Linked DNA regions of Caenorhabditis elegans. The protein of the gene in region 1 purifies or fractionates together with the protein of each later gene. This does not show direct contact. Each region holds a gene or a part of one and is shown on either strand. Other genes may lie near its edges.

Region 1 (4,901 bases):
GAAATCAAATACAATCAATGCCTTCCCCGTGGAACATCTTGCGAGTACTCCACCGAAGTGACTGTCATGAACAGAAAGTTCAATCTCAAACACCATCAGTTTGACAATGATAGGCTTTATCTCCCGACTTTCATGAAATGGGATGATGTTGTGGACTTGACATATGAAGATGAATCAGTAAGATGTTGTGCGAAAGTGGTGGGATTTCGCCATTTAGAGAATGTTGAGCGAAGTTTCGGAGATTGCAGTTATCATGGAACAAGTGACCTGCGGCATGTTACAACTGTCAACTTGACTATTACAGTTGGAAGATACAAGATTTTAGTGAACAAAGATGTAAGATTCACTGAATTATAATTTTTAATGTAAAGTTTGGTTTTTCAGTACCTGATGTCAATGTCAGGATTCTTCCGGACAATTTTAGAGAATGCGGATAAGAACTCCAGGCATGACGATCTCGTGCTAACAGAGTCGAGAGATGAGGCTTTTGTGACTATGATTGATATATGTCATCATAAGTTCTGGTGTAATTGTGAGTTGAAACAGTGAAGATATTTTTCAGCACAGCAAAAATAATTTTTTAGGAAAACTATAATACAAGAAAAAGCAACATAACCTTTTTACGTTATTTTAATCAATTTCGAACTTCAAATTATAGTTTTTCTTTTCAAACCGTTATCTCCATTTTGCCACATGTTCAACTTTCAGACCAACTTAAAGAGGACCTTTTTGAAGTTGCAAAGTTGTACGAGTTTCCATTTGTCATCAACTTCTACAACCAATTTTTCAACTCGGACCGTGCATTTAATGCTGACGACGAGTTGTCTTTAGAAAACACTATGTGATGCAGTTTGACTGTGATTAAAAATTTGGCAACTTTTTAAACTGTATACTCATTTGCTTTGGGATCTCAGCAATAATTTGATATGTATATATTTTTTCTATAAGTCTCTTTATGTTCATGTTTATTTTACAGCAATATCTAGATTTTTTTAAACTCACTTTGAAGATAACTCAGAATAATTTTAATTTATATGGAAAACTTGATCGCGCTAGAATTTATTTCGGCATTTGTCTCAAGCTTCTTGTCCAAGTTTGGCTAAAAATATTAACTTTAGTAAGGTTTGGTTTGGGATGCGTTCAAGTTCTATCCAAGTTTGGCTCACACTTAACAATTGTAAGTTGTGTTTTTTTAAATTCGGGTCAAAGTAAGGCAAGAGTTTTGGATCAAATTTGGATTATACTTTGGCACAACGCAAATTTTGCCAAAGTCCCTTATTATTTGATACTATACAGGCGAATAATTTATTCGTAAATACAAATAAATGTAAAGAGAAAGTCACAAGTTTTTTAAGCTATTCAACTAATCAGTGAACGACAAATTTGTATTTGAATTCTATTAGTTTGAGAAAGTTTTAAACTATTTCAAAGTGGTATGTATGTATACACGTACATTTGTAAATTTCAAATAATATATCACGCAAAGTTTCTAAACAAATACGAATTATTCATCGAAATGTTGAGAAAATAACGATTTGGGAACCAAACCATTAACCCGGTAGTTTGAGGGAATAGATATGAGATGAAAGCTTAGAGCTTGGCACCACCGGACCTACCTCAGCCATTTATTTTCCAAACCACACTCTGAGCAGTCTCCACCCTCAAGTCTGTCTTCATTTTACTCATCACATAAATTGGAAAGTGACTCGAGTTTTTGGAGAGGAAAAGAGAGAAGAAACTTGGATGAGTGGAGGAAAATGAAGCGAAAAAAAAACACGTGTCATCATTGTGCACAGCACAAGGGGAAAGACCAAAGCGAAGATAATGAGATCAAAAGAGAAATGAGAGGTTTTTCCTCCCGGCGGGAGAGGGGAGAAGCCGCAGAAGAGCGGTCCGCCTGGTTACATGAAGAGAGAAAGAGTGAAGAAGACAGCTGTCCGGACTGCTTGACGTAGACTTTTTGACTGGAAGGTGGAGTTTCGGACTGTGCGAGTAGAGATACGCATTGCGTTGTTCCGACTTCCAGCCATGCAGACGCTGCGCAATCCCTTGTCCATTTTTAGAGCGCGGTAAGTTTTGCTCAAAAAATTACACAGGTGTTTGGCAACGTGAAATATTGAAACGTTGTGTTGTTCTAGTATATTCCAACCCCCACTAATTTTAATTACGTTTTTTCGATGAAATAGGTAAGAATTCTACTACTCAATTTTTATATTCATACAACACCTTTTGTATCAACTTACACGGTAATTTCATTGTACTCAAACTTTTTAAAATCAAGTTTCGACCATTGCCTTGATCTGAAAATACTTAGTTACTTACTTAGACAATCCGTTCTTCAGGAATTCGTGGTATTCCTGCGCATCACAGCAAGCCATTCTTTTTGGTCCTTGGCTATAATGGACCAAATTGGTTTTTTCATCAATATTTTGTTAGAAATTGTGTTCATCGCGAAACTTAATGTGTTTCATCAAGTGAATATGAGACAGATAACGTTTTTATTTATTCTCTAAATACAATTGTGTGAGCTTTCTTAGAATTTGAGAAACGGTTTTTTTTCTCAAAGTTTCTATATTTGAGTTATATAATTTTTCTTGACAGTAATTGTCACATAAAACTCAATCGATACAAAAATAGTGTATTAAAATATTCAATATAACTTTTTCCACCAAATTGTTATTTTTTCCACGAGTTGTTTTCTACAAAACTGATATTGAAGAAAAATAGGTTTTCAATATTTACCAATATATCAAGCTTTACAAAATTGTTTGGTCGAATGAAAAATGTACTGTTCACTTTTTCAACTCAATTAGGTTATAATCAAAGCTTTAGTCTGCTGATTTCACTCTGTTTAGCTTCAAATGTAGCCTGATCCTTTCGTACTTTTTTTAAAATGAAACTGAACACTTTTCCGCAAGTACAATGTTATACTGACACATAGCTTTTCAAAAATCACTTTTTCTCGTTCTGTTTCCCTTTTAGTTTTGAGTTCAATGACAAATTCTTCTCATCTTTCGCATTGAACAGATAGCTAGTGTTACTTGTTGATGCTCTCATCTAGTTTACACAACCTCTCCCACATCAGAATGTTATTGGGTATTGAACAAGTTCCAGGAATAGGGGTGGGGAAATATTTTTCGAGAAAAAACACTAATTTCGTACTTCCAAATCATTTTTCAACACAAATTGCAGATCACGAAGTCGGGAACGAAGCACTCCTCAACGAGCTGTCACTCAATCAGAAAAGTCGGACAAATCTCGGTCAGTTGTGTTGTGTTTTTTTTTCTTTCAGCTCATGCGTCATGGGTGTGATATTTTGTTTTTTTTGGAGCATTTCAGTTTTTAAAAATCTAATTTTTTGTTGTTTTTCAGCTTCCCAAGCATCAATAATTATTTATTATTTTCAGAAACAAAAATGAGTCCACCAACGAAAAAAAGAGCATCACAGTGAGCAGTAGTGATGTTAGCAGCAAAACCCAGCTCACAAAGCCCAACAACGAACCAAAATCCAAAGCCACCCCTGACAAAGCCACAACTCAAAAATTGTTCATGAAACGTGACAAGAATGCAACAGAATGTCTGGCAGAGACCAAGATTGAGAGGAAATCAATGTAAGTCACAATGATCCTCAGACGATTGGAGGTCTTTCTCAACTTCCAGATGTCGAGAAAAAACGCACAAGAGCATTGTGCTTCCGCAGCCACGGTTTTACACTTGTGAACGAATTCAGAAGACTGTTAAGCTGCCGGACAAGAGTAAAAGTAGTTCAGCGGTAAGTATTTATGATTTTTTGGGATAGGATAGAAAAAGAATAACAAATATTTAAAAACAAACCCCCCAAGTCAAAAATTTCACTGAGATAAGTTCTGAGAACTTCTTAAAAACTATGCTTTTGAATCCTGGTAATAAAAAAATCACAGGTAATTTTCAAAAATTGAATAAAGAAAACAACCTAATTTTCGTCGGTCTTTTTGACTTTGTAATAGAATCTCTTGAAAATTTGTCAAAGCAATTTTTGTGGTGGTTCCATAATCAATCTCAATATGCAAAGTTTTTAAAATTACGACGGGTGAAGAAATCTACAATTTTCTACCAAGAAATATAATTTTAAACTGTATTCTACTATCTAAACAACTTTAAATACGTAAAAACTGCGCAAAAACCGTATTTCGAGCCATCTATCAAATTCCAACTACCAAAAAAAAAATCACTTAACATATTCCAGATCAACACTTTTCAGTTTAGAGTTCAGAACTGAACATTGATTTTAAACACAGAATTGCAAATTTAAAAAATTCCTCTGCAAAATTTTGTGTTTTTGTCTCTGAACCATGCTCCCAAACAGTACACCCAAGATTATAGAAAAATATTCTAATGATTTGTTTGAAATTGGAATCAAAAGTGCAATCCCACAAATCCCTGTGCACAATCATAATCCCCCACACCAGCGGTTGTCCAGCAGTTGAATCCAGCCGTCTGTTATAAACATGTGTTGTTGACCCAAATTGAGTCATAAATTTTATGACCCTTATTGTTGAACCCAGACACCAAGGAACCCCCCCCCCTCATGTTTCTTGGAATTCGATTCATTTGAATTTTCTTCAGATGAGCATCAAGAAATCAACGCACTGGTGTTACGTTGCCGCGCCAAAGCACATCACTCTACAGCCGGGCCCGTCGAGTGTCGGCGACGGATTTTCGACTGAAGCCATGATCGAGGAGATCTTCGCCCCGCTACGAGACACCATAAAAGAGGGCATCGAAGAGGCACGACATTTATCTTCATCTCCGGGTAGGTATTTCGACTTTTATTACTGTTTTACAACAAATTGATGGCCAGAAGATGTTTTATTTATTACTTACGGGAAAATGTTCGATTTATTGAAATTTATTGCCAAATA
Region 2 (7,938 bases), on another chromosome or scaffold:
AACTCCGTAAATCTGTATGGGTCTCGAAGCGACAATCAAATTTTTGAGAAAAACCGTAGAATTTCGAAAAAACCAGTGATTTTCAATCAGAGTCTGAAAATTATTCCGAAATAATGTTTTAAAAATTCATGAATAGCGAATAGAGTTTCTATTAAATTTTTATAAAGTTTTAAAAATATCGAATTCGGCATAAAAATTCCCAAAAAAACGATGGGAAACGTTTGAATTTACAATATTGCCGGCAAATACCTAACGAGACCCGCGGTTCAGGGGCGGGGCGTTTTCAATTGTCAGTGGAGCGCGCTTGCACCCCCACATATTCACGCTCCGTAAATCCACACAATGTCAGCCCGAAATACGTGCCCACTGGGCCCCAATATGTCTGCGTCTCTTCTGGACCTTATAAGAAGAAAACGTGTGGCTGTGATCGTGGTGAGACCCATTCAGAAAAATAGTGTGTACCTTTAAAGTCGAGTGTCAAATTTTAACGGAATTAAAATTTAAAGCTGCCCCATTTTCATTCACAACGATGTTAATTTTTGCGGTATTGGGGGAATTGAAAATAAAATAAATAAATAAATAAACTATTATACAGAAAAAATAAATTAATGGGAAAAAAATAAATTATTTGACAGAAAAATAATAGAAATGCTTGGCTTCAAAGGCTCATGCTCCATCCGCCAACCACATTTATCAGTTGATCTCCGTCCATCGGGAAGTCCTTCGAGTACTGCTTGAATCGATGCAAGTGTCGCCGTGATCGGACCCGTTTCTGACGTTCGACACGATCCATTGGCACGAGCATCGGGAGCACATCTTGAACCAGGTCTCGCCGCGAAAATCGTCCATTGAGAGCCTCGTAAGCGTTCCGGACACCTTCCGAATATCCAGCCTGAGATTCCGCGAGCTTCTGGCGATCCGTATCCCATAGTTTCTCCACTCCCGGTGAGCGGCTCAGAGCCACTGCTCCGTCTGGGAGAACATCCGCGTACTGCTCGAAGAGCTCCTCCATTCGTTCCTGTGTCTTGGTTAAGCTGCAACGTGGCTTTTCCCAGTGCTCGGAGAATCCGGTTGAAACGAGATGGCGAGTTGTAAGTGGGAATGGGCGGTGTGGAGCCAGCGAGAAAAGATGAGCTTGATGGAGGAGAGCACTCAGATCGTGATTCACGGACTCGGAGAGCTGCTTGATCGTCGCGTCGTCGATAATCACGTTACGGCACGAGTAGACGAGATTCTGAAATTAAAAGAATTTTAATAATTTTTTTAAAATTTAAATTTTTCGCTAAATTTTTTTTCCACCTTTTTGGAAATCAATCTGATAAAAAATATTATAAATTCGAAAAAAATTAATTTTGGAAACCAGTTTTCAGTAGTTAAGCTCAAAATTCCAAAAAAAATCGGGAATTTTTCACCAAAACCGAGGTTTAGAGGAACAATTTCGCTGGAAATGTGTTTTTTTGGAAATTTCTGGAAATTTTTTTAGCGTCTTTTCCGCTTCATTTTAAGCCGAAATTAGTAGAAAATTCGATTTTTGATCATTTTGATCTTAAAAATGTTTCTGAAATTTCTAGAAGTACCTGTACATATTTCTGTACTCTGCATTGATTTCTATTCAAGCAAATCTCCAAATGGGGCCTCCGTAGCTCAACTTGTCCCCATCGTCGTGGCCATTCTTGCTCACAAGTGAACACAACCGGCACGGCAGCTTCATTCACAGCTTCCAGAAGTCCAAGGATCCCATGACGATCGAGAGTCTCAAAGAACACATCGACATGCTCAAAGACCACTAGACTCTGCACAAAATCCTTTGGCGCCAGTTGTGGTGGTGGTGCTGGAGTTTCACGCGGAATTGTCTTGTAAAACGGGATGGTACGAGTCGGATGCGGCTGCTGATCCACACGATGAGAACGGAGAGCCTCCTGAAGGTTTCTCTTGATCTCTGAGCCACTTCTGCCGGTTTCCGGGCCAATTGAGATTATACGCATGTTTTCTTGCTTGGCGAGAGCACGGAACTGCAAAAAATTTTAAATTTTTGGAGAAAACCAGATTTTTTTCTTGCAGAAAATGTTAGAGTTTTCGTTTAAAAAAAGACGATTTTTTAACATTAATTTTCGTTGAAAAAACACAAGAAGTTTACCATTTTTGAGTGCCGTAATTGCCGGAAGTTTTGGAAACCGGCAATTGCAGGAATTGCCGGAAATTTCCAAAACCGGCAATTGCAGAATTTGCCGATTTCCGAAAATTTTCAAAACTGGCAGTTGCAGAAATTGCCGAATTCGCCAAAAATTTCCAAAACCGGCAATTGCCGAATTTGCTGGAAATTTTCAAAACTGGCAATTACAGAAATTGCCGAATTCGCCAAAAATTTCCAAAACCGGCAATTGCCGAATTTGCTGGAAATTTTCAAAACTGGCAATTACAGAAATTGCCGAATTCGCCAAAAATTTCCAAAACCGGCAATTACCGAATTTGCTGGAAATTTTGGAAACCGGCAATTGCAAAAATTGCCGAATTCGTCAAAAATTTCCAAAACCGGCAATTGCCGAATGTTTTCAAAACAGGCAATTGCAGAAATTGCCGAAAATATATAAAACCGGCAATTGCCGAAATTGCCAAAAATTTCCGATTTCTGAGCAACCCTGAATTAGAGCTTTTTTATTCAAAAGTTTCTGATTTTTTTCCAAAAATTCCAATTTTTTCTGAAAATCTCCAAGCTTCATCCCGTACCAAGGCGGTCTTTCCAACTCCAGACGGTCCAATCAACACCAGAGGATTCTCCAGATCATCATCCTGATGCTCCACTTCATAATCCTCATCGGATTCATGATCCTCATCCCGTCGCTTCCTCTTTTTCTTCTTCCCCTGCTGCTCCGCAATCTCTCGCTCCATGGCTTTCCGCACTCGACGCTTCCATCTTCGGAGCCATCCCCGCACCGTTGGCTCTTCTTCGGCTCCTTCTACCAGTGAATCCATCGTCGACGGATATATTGTTGTTGTGCAGCTATTTTGGGGCACTTCCAGCTTTTCCAGCGATGAATCCGGCGGATTTTGAGCCATTGTGAGTTCCCGGCTTCGCTCGTAGGGCTTATGGAGCTCAAGGAGATCCTCCTGAAGCTCAGAGACAATCCCAGTTGAATCTAGAATTTTTGGGTCGAAACTTCTAGATTTGAAGATCTTCCCATCGTCGATTTCTGCGAATTCCTCGAAAATCGCTGGCAAAATTGGGATTTTCTCGAAAAACTGATAGGTTTCAGCGCACAAATCTCCCCAATGCTCTTTTCGACGGACTCCGTTGCTCTTTTTGGAGAAGCTGGAGCTCGGCGGGCCTGAAACTGATCCCATTGGGCTATCCGATAGAGTTGTCACTTTTGGAGTGACTGCAGGCTTCACAGGTTTTGGAGAGAAAATCGAGAAAACTGGGCCGGAGCTGCTGGGCTTTTGGCTTGTTGGTGGAGTTGATTTGGTCTGGAAAATTGGGTTTTTAAGAAAAAGAAGGCTTTTTCGGCTAAAAATTAGGCTTTTTCGAATTTTTTTAATAGAAAACCAGTGTTAGTTTCCAAAAAAAGCTTTCAAAAAAAATCATTTTTCGACGATTTTTTGATTTTCTAGAAATAAATAATTGAATTTTCTTAATTTTTCTCTCAAAAATCTAAAAAATTGTGTACCTCCGCCTTTTTCAGCTCTAGCATCTTCTTATTTCCCACTACTGGAGTTGATTTCGAAAAAATCGTCGCCAATTTCCCATTTTCCGGCGCCTCAGGACTCGAAATAACCACAATTTCTTCCTCGGTTTCCGGCGCTGCGTCGTCAGAAGTGGGCAGGGGCTTCGCAACTCTGAAGTACGCAGAAGATCTACGGATTTTGAGTTTCTTCTTCTCCTCTTTGATCTCTTCCGATGATTTTGCAGGAGGCTCCACGGTTTTTTCCGGAGACTCAGATTTCCGAGATGGCTCGGCATCTTTTTCCAGGGTTTTTGGTTCCACGGATTTTGCAGCCATTGATTTCCGAGCTGTTCGGACCTTAGGCTCCACCTCCTTATCCAGAGATTTCGATTCCAGAGATTTCGATTCCACGGAGTTTCCGGAATATGCAGAGGATCTTCGCGATCTCTTCTTCTCAGCTTCAAGTGGTTTGGAAATAGATTCCACCTCCTTTTCCGCAGATCCAAAGTACGCTGAATATCTGCGATTTTTGCGTTGTTTCTTCTCGGATTCCACCGCCATTTCCACACAGTTGACTTCCACGGAGTCGGCTTCCCCATCCAGAGACACCACAGGTTTCTTGGCAGATCTCGGCGCGAAAAAGCTGTGAATTTCCGATTTAAGAGGTCCTCGTTTCGCCAGGGGCTCCAGATCATAGCCGGGATCGTGGTTTTCTCGTTTTTTCGAGCTGCTTTCCTCGCGTTCGTCTTCCAGCAAATCACACGACTTCACCGGAGGCTCTATGGCATCCGGATTCAGACGAAGCGATCTACGGGATCGCTTGGATTTTTGCTCTGGCTCCTCCAATCTCGGCTTCTCAATTTTCGCTGGCGACTTCAGAGGTGACGCTGCGCCGAGGATGAGAGATTTCCGGCGTGATGATGGTCGCGTTTTCGATTCCACCGATTTCGTGTTCACCGACTCAAGTGCGGTCTCCGTCACAGATTCAGCCGAGTAGGATGCAATTGATGACGTGGATGGTGCAGAGCCTCCTCCTCCGTCGCCGAACACCATTTCCGCGTTGAATTGGAAAACGTCCTCCGATTGCATTTGCTCGAGCTGAAAGAAAAAATTGAAGAAAAAATCAATATTAGACTCCACCCATTTTTTACCTTTGCCTGTGACGTAGGTGTCAATCGGAGTTTTACTGTGCTGAGGCGTTCTCTGTTCGGATTCATCGTGTCCTCCTCATCGTCCGAGTGTGGCATCACCAAATCGTTTGGATTCTGCAAAAAAAAGAGATTGTCCGAGAGGAGTACACGGGGAAAAGTTGCAGATTTTGATGAAAATGTGAAGTTTTTCGGGTGAAAAAGTGTCAAATTAGTGTACTTTTTGTGAAAATAAGCCCATTTTCAGTAATTTCAGACTTATTTTTGGCTTTAAAAATACTAAAAACGCCAAAAACTGGAAAATTCACGGATTTCCGAGAGAAAACTTGGTTTTTTCAACGAAAATCTGGCATTTTTCAGTTAAAAACCGCGCTAAAAACGTGTTTTCTCTTAAAATTTCGGGGACTTTCAGCGATTTTTCGGCAAAAAATCGATTTTTCAGCTTATTCCGCAGCCTACTAACATAATTGGGCCTCGGCGTTATCACTCGAATCGAGCATATCTTGTTGAACTTCAGTTTTCCCGATGTTCCACGCTTTTGCGGCGTTTTCGACATGCTTCTACGATATTTCTGCATCACACGTTGAGCGGCCTGCTGGGTCAGCGATTTTCGTGGCGGGATCATCGCACCGTCAGCTGGACGAACTCGAATCGGCGTTTTGGTGGCGGATTTGAGGCATGGCTTCACGGCGACACGTTCTCCAACGTCGAACTGAAATTAGAATCGTTGAAAAAACGTTGTGAGACCCATTTATCAGTTTTTGAATTTCATGAGCCTTTGAAATACAAAAATCGATCAAAATAATTGATTTTCAGCCAAAATCTTCATTTTTGAGGCACTTTTCCGGCAAAAATCTGGAAATTTTCAGCTTTCGCAGCTCAAATCCTCACCGAATATCGAATCGGCCGCTGACAAGCACGAGTTCTCGGTGGTGGCGGCGGCTGAACCAACGGTAGCGGCGCGATTTTCAGCTGAGCCATTCGTTTCGGCTGTACACGCTTTTGAACGGGGCTCATCACGTCTTCGGAGCCGGAACTAATGAATGAGCTCATGATTTTGATGCCAAGCGAGGAACGACGGCGAGCAGGTCTGGAAATTGAGAGATTTTATCGAGAATTGAGGGTAAAAACCAACCTTTTTGGTTCTTCCGTATGTTCCTTATGCTCTGGAATTGGCTCTGGTGGTGCCGATGTGGATGGAAGTGAGTTTTCATCCAAAGTAGGATTCTCTTCCATTTTTACTGCAAAAAAATCGATAAATGACGGAAATTCAATGATTTTTCATGGGAAAATGTGAGAAATTAAGCGAATAATTCGATTTTTAACATAAAATCTGTGAAAATTGAAGAAAAATCGAGAACAACTGATTTCATGGAATATTCCAAAAACCACGAAAACTGAAAATTTTCCCTCCGAAAAGAAAATGAAAATCAACATTTCGCGCTGTCTCACTAGAGCGCGCTTGCGCGCACCTCTCGTTAAAAACGCGGCAATTCAAATCAGGGTTTTTTTGCGTGAAACCCCAAATGACAGGAAAACGTGTATAAACTTCGAGAATGTTCGATTTTGATTAAACTAGAAAAAAGAACCACAAAAAATCAATCATTTCCTTTATCATGGAAACCGAAATTTGTGAGCAACTCGGCGATCTTCACTTGGACAAGGAAGCCATCTTGCTCCGCGCCGAGCAAATCGAGCAGGACATCAAGGCACGGGTGAGAATTAGAATTGGAGAGCACTTTGCAAGCCGGGAATTTTGAATTGCTCTTTTTTTGCAGAAGTACTCGGTGATTCCACCATTGTCCGACGAGGAGCAGAACCTTCTGGACGCTGAAATCGCTAAGCGAGCTGCTCCGCCGCCGGGTGTCCCGGATGCCGCCGATTTTCCGCTTCACGACATTGTGAAGGAGTTGGGGCTCGATAAGCCGGTCGATGGGACGGATCCCGAGTTTTATGAGGAGCTGAAGGCCAAGGACGCGAATACGGTCTACAAGAACATGAAAGATGTAAGCACACTTTGTTGGGCAGAGTCAAAATACACCAGATTTGACGCGCATTTTTTTTTTGAATTTTTGGATGAAATGCAGTGCCCCAACAATTCTGCCTGAAAATTTGTCTCTGTCATGGGCATTGAACCAGGGATGGGAGGCAATTGTCGTTTTCCGGCAAATTCGGCAAATCGACAAATTGCCGGTTTGCCGGAAATTTTCATTTTCAGAAAATTGCAGATTTGCCGGAAATTTTGAACTCGGGCAATCTGCCGGTTTGCCGATTTGCCGGAATTTTCATTTTAGGAAAATTGCAGATTTGCCGAAAATTTTCATTTTCAGAAAATTTCCGATTTGCTGGAAATTTTAATTTTCGAAACATTGCCGATTTGCCGGAAATTTTGAATTCGGGCAATCTGCCGGTTTGGCGATTTGCCGAAATTTTTCATTTTAGGAAAAAATTCGGACATTTGCCGGGTTGCCGGAAATTTTCATTTTCAGAAAATTGCCCATTTGCTGGAAATTTTCATTTTCAAAAAATTGCCGATTTGCCGGAAATTTTCATTTTAGGAAAAAATTCGGGCATTTGCCGGGTTGCCGGAAATTTTCATTTTCAGAAATTTGCAGATTTGCCGGAAATTTTGAACTCGGGCAATCTGCCGGTTTGCCGATTTGCCGGAATTTTCATTTTAGGAAAAAATTCGGACATTTGCCGGGTTGCCGGAAATTTTCATTTTCAGAAAATTGCAGATTTGCCGGAAATTTTGAACTCGGGCAATCTGCCGGTTTGCCGATTTGCCGGAATTTTCTATTTAGGAAAAAATTCGGACATTTGCCGGGTTGCCGGAAATTTTCATTTTCAGAAAATTGCAGATTTGCCGGAAATTTTGAACTCGGGCAATCTGCCGGTTTGCCGATTTGCCGGAATTTTCATTTTAGGAAAAAATTCGGACATTTGCCGGGTTGCCGGAAATTTTCATTTTCAGAAAATTGCAGATTTGCCGGAAATTTTCATTTTCAGAAAATTGCCGATTTGCTGGAAATTTTAATTTTCGAAAAATTGCCGATTTGCCGGAAATTTTGAATTCGGGCAATCTGCCGGTTTGGCGATTTGCCGGAATTTTTCATTTTAGGAAAAAA

What was found.
Region 2: the proteins of F35B3.7 (region 1) and Y53F4B.9 fractionate together in Caenorhabditis elegans (co-fractionation; one large-scale study listed by BioGRID). This does not show direct contact.

Annotation. Positions count from the first base shown.
Region 1 is NC_003284.9:17,040,059-17,044,959, reverse strand, and holds the start of F35B3.7 (Leucine-rich repeat-containing protein), read left to right. Parts: upstream 1-1,881; 5' UTR 1,882-2,028; coding exon 2,029-2,069; intron 2,070-3,192; coding exon 3,193-3,261; intron 3,262-3,407; coding exon 3,408-3,611; intron 3,612-3,660; coding exon 3,661-3,772; intron 3,773-4,605; coding exon 4,606-4,792; intron 4,793-4,901. Other genes in the region: C30G4.2 (BTB domain-containing protein), read left to right, coding at 1-336, 385-532, 709-845.
Region 2 is NC_003280.10:15,004,366-15,012,303, forward strand, and holds Y53F4B.9 (AAA+ ATPase domain-containing protein), read right to left. Parts: upstream 6,052-7,938; 5' UTR 6,047-6,051; coding exon 5,946-6,046; intron 5,901-5,945; coding exon 5,702-5,900; intron 5,523-5,701; coding exon 5,274-5,522; intron 4,928-5,273; coding exon 4,814-4,927; intron 4,761-4,813; coding exon 3,666-4,760; intron 3,466-3,665; coding exon 2,728-3,465; intron 2,013-2,727; coding exon 1,578-2,012; intron 1,235-1,577; coding exon 659-1,234; 3' UTR 499-658; downstream 1-498. Other genes in the region: Y53F4B.11 (uncharacterized protein), read left to right, coding at 6,427-6,525, 6,589-6,816.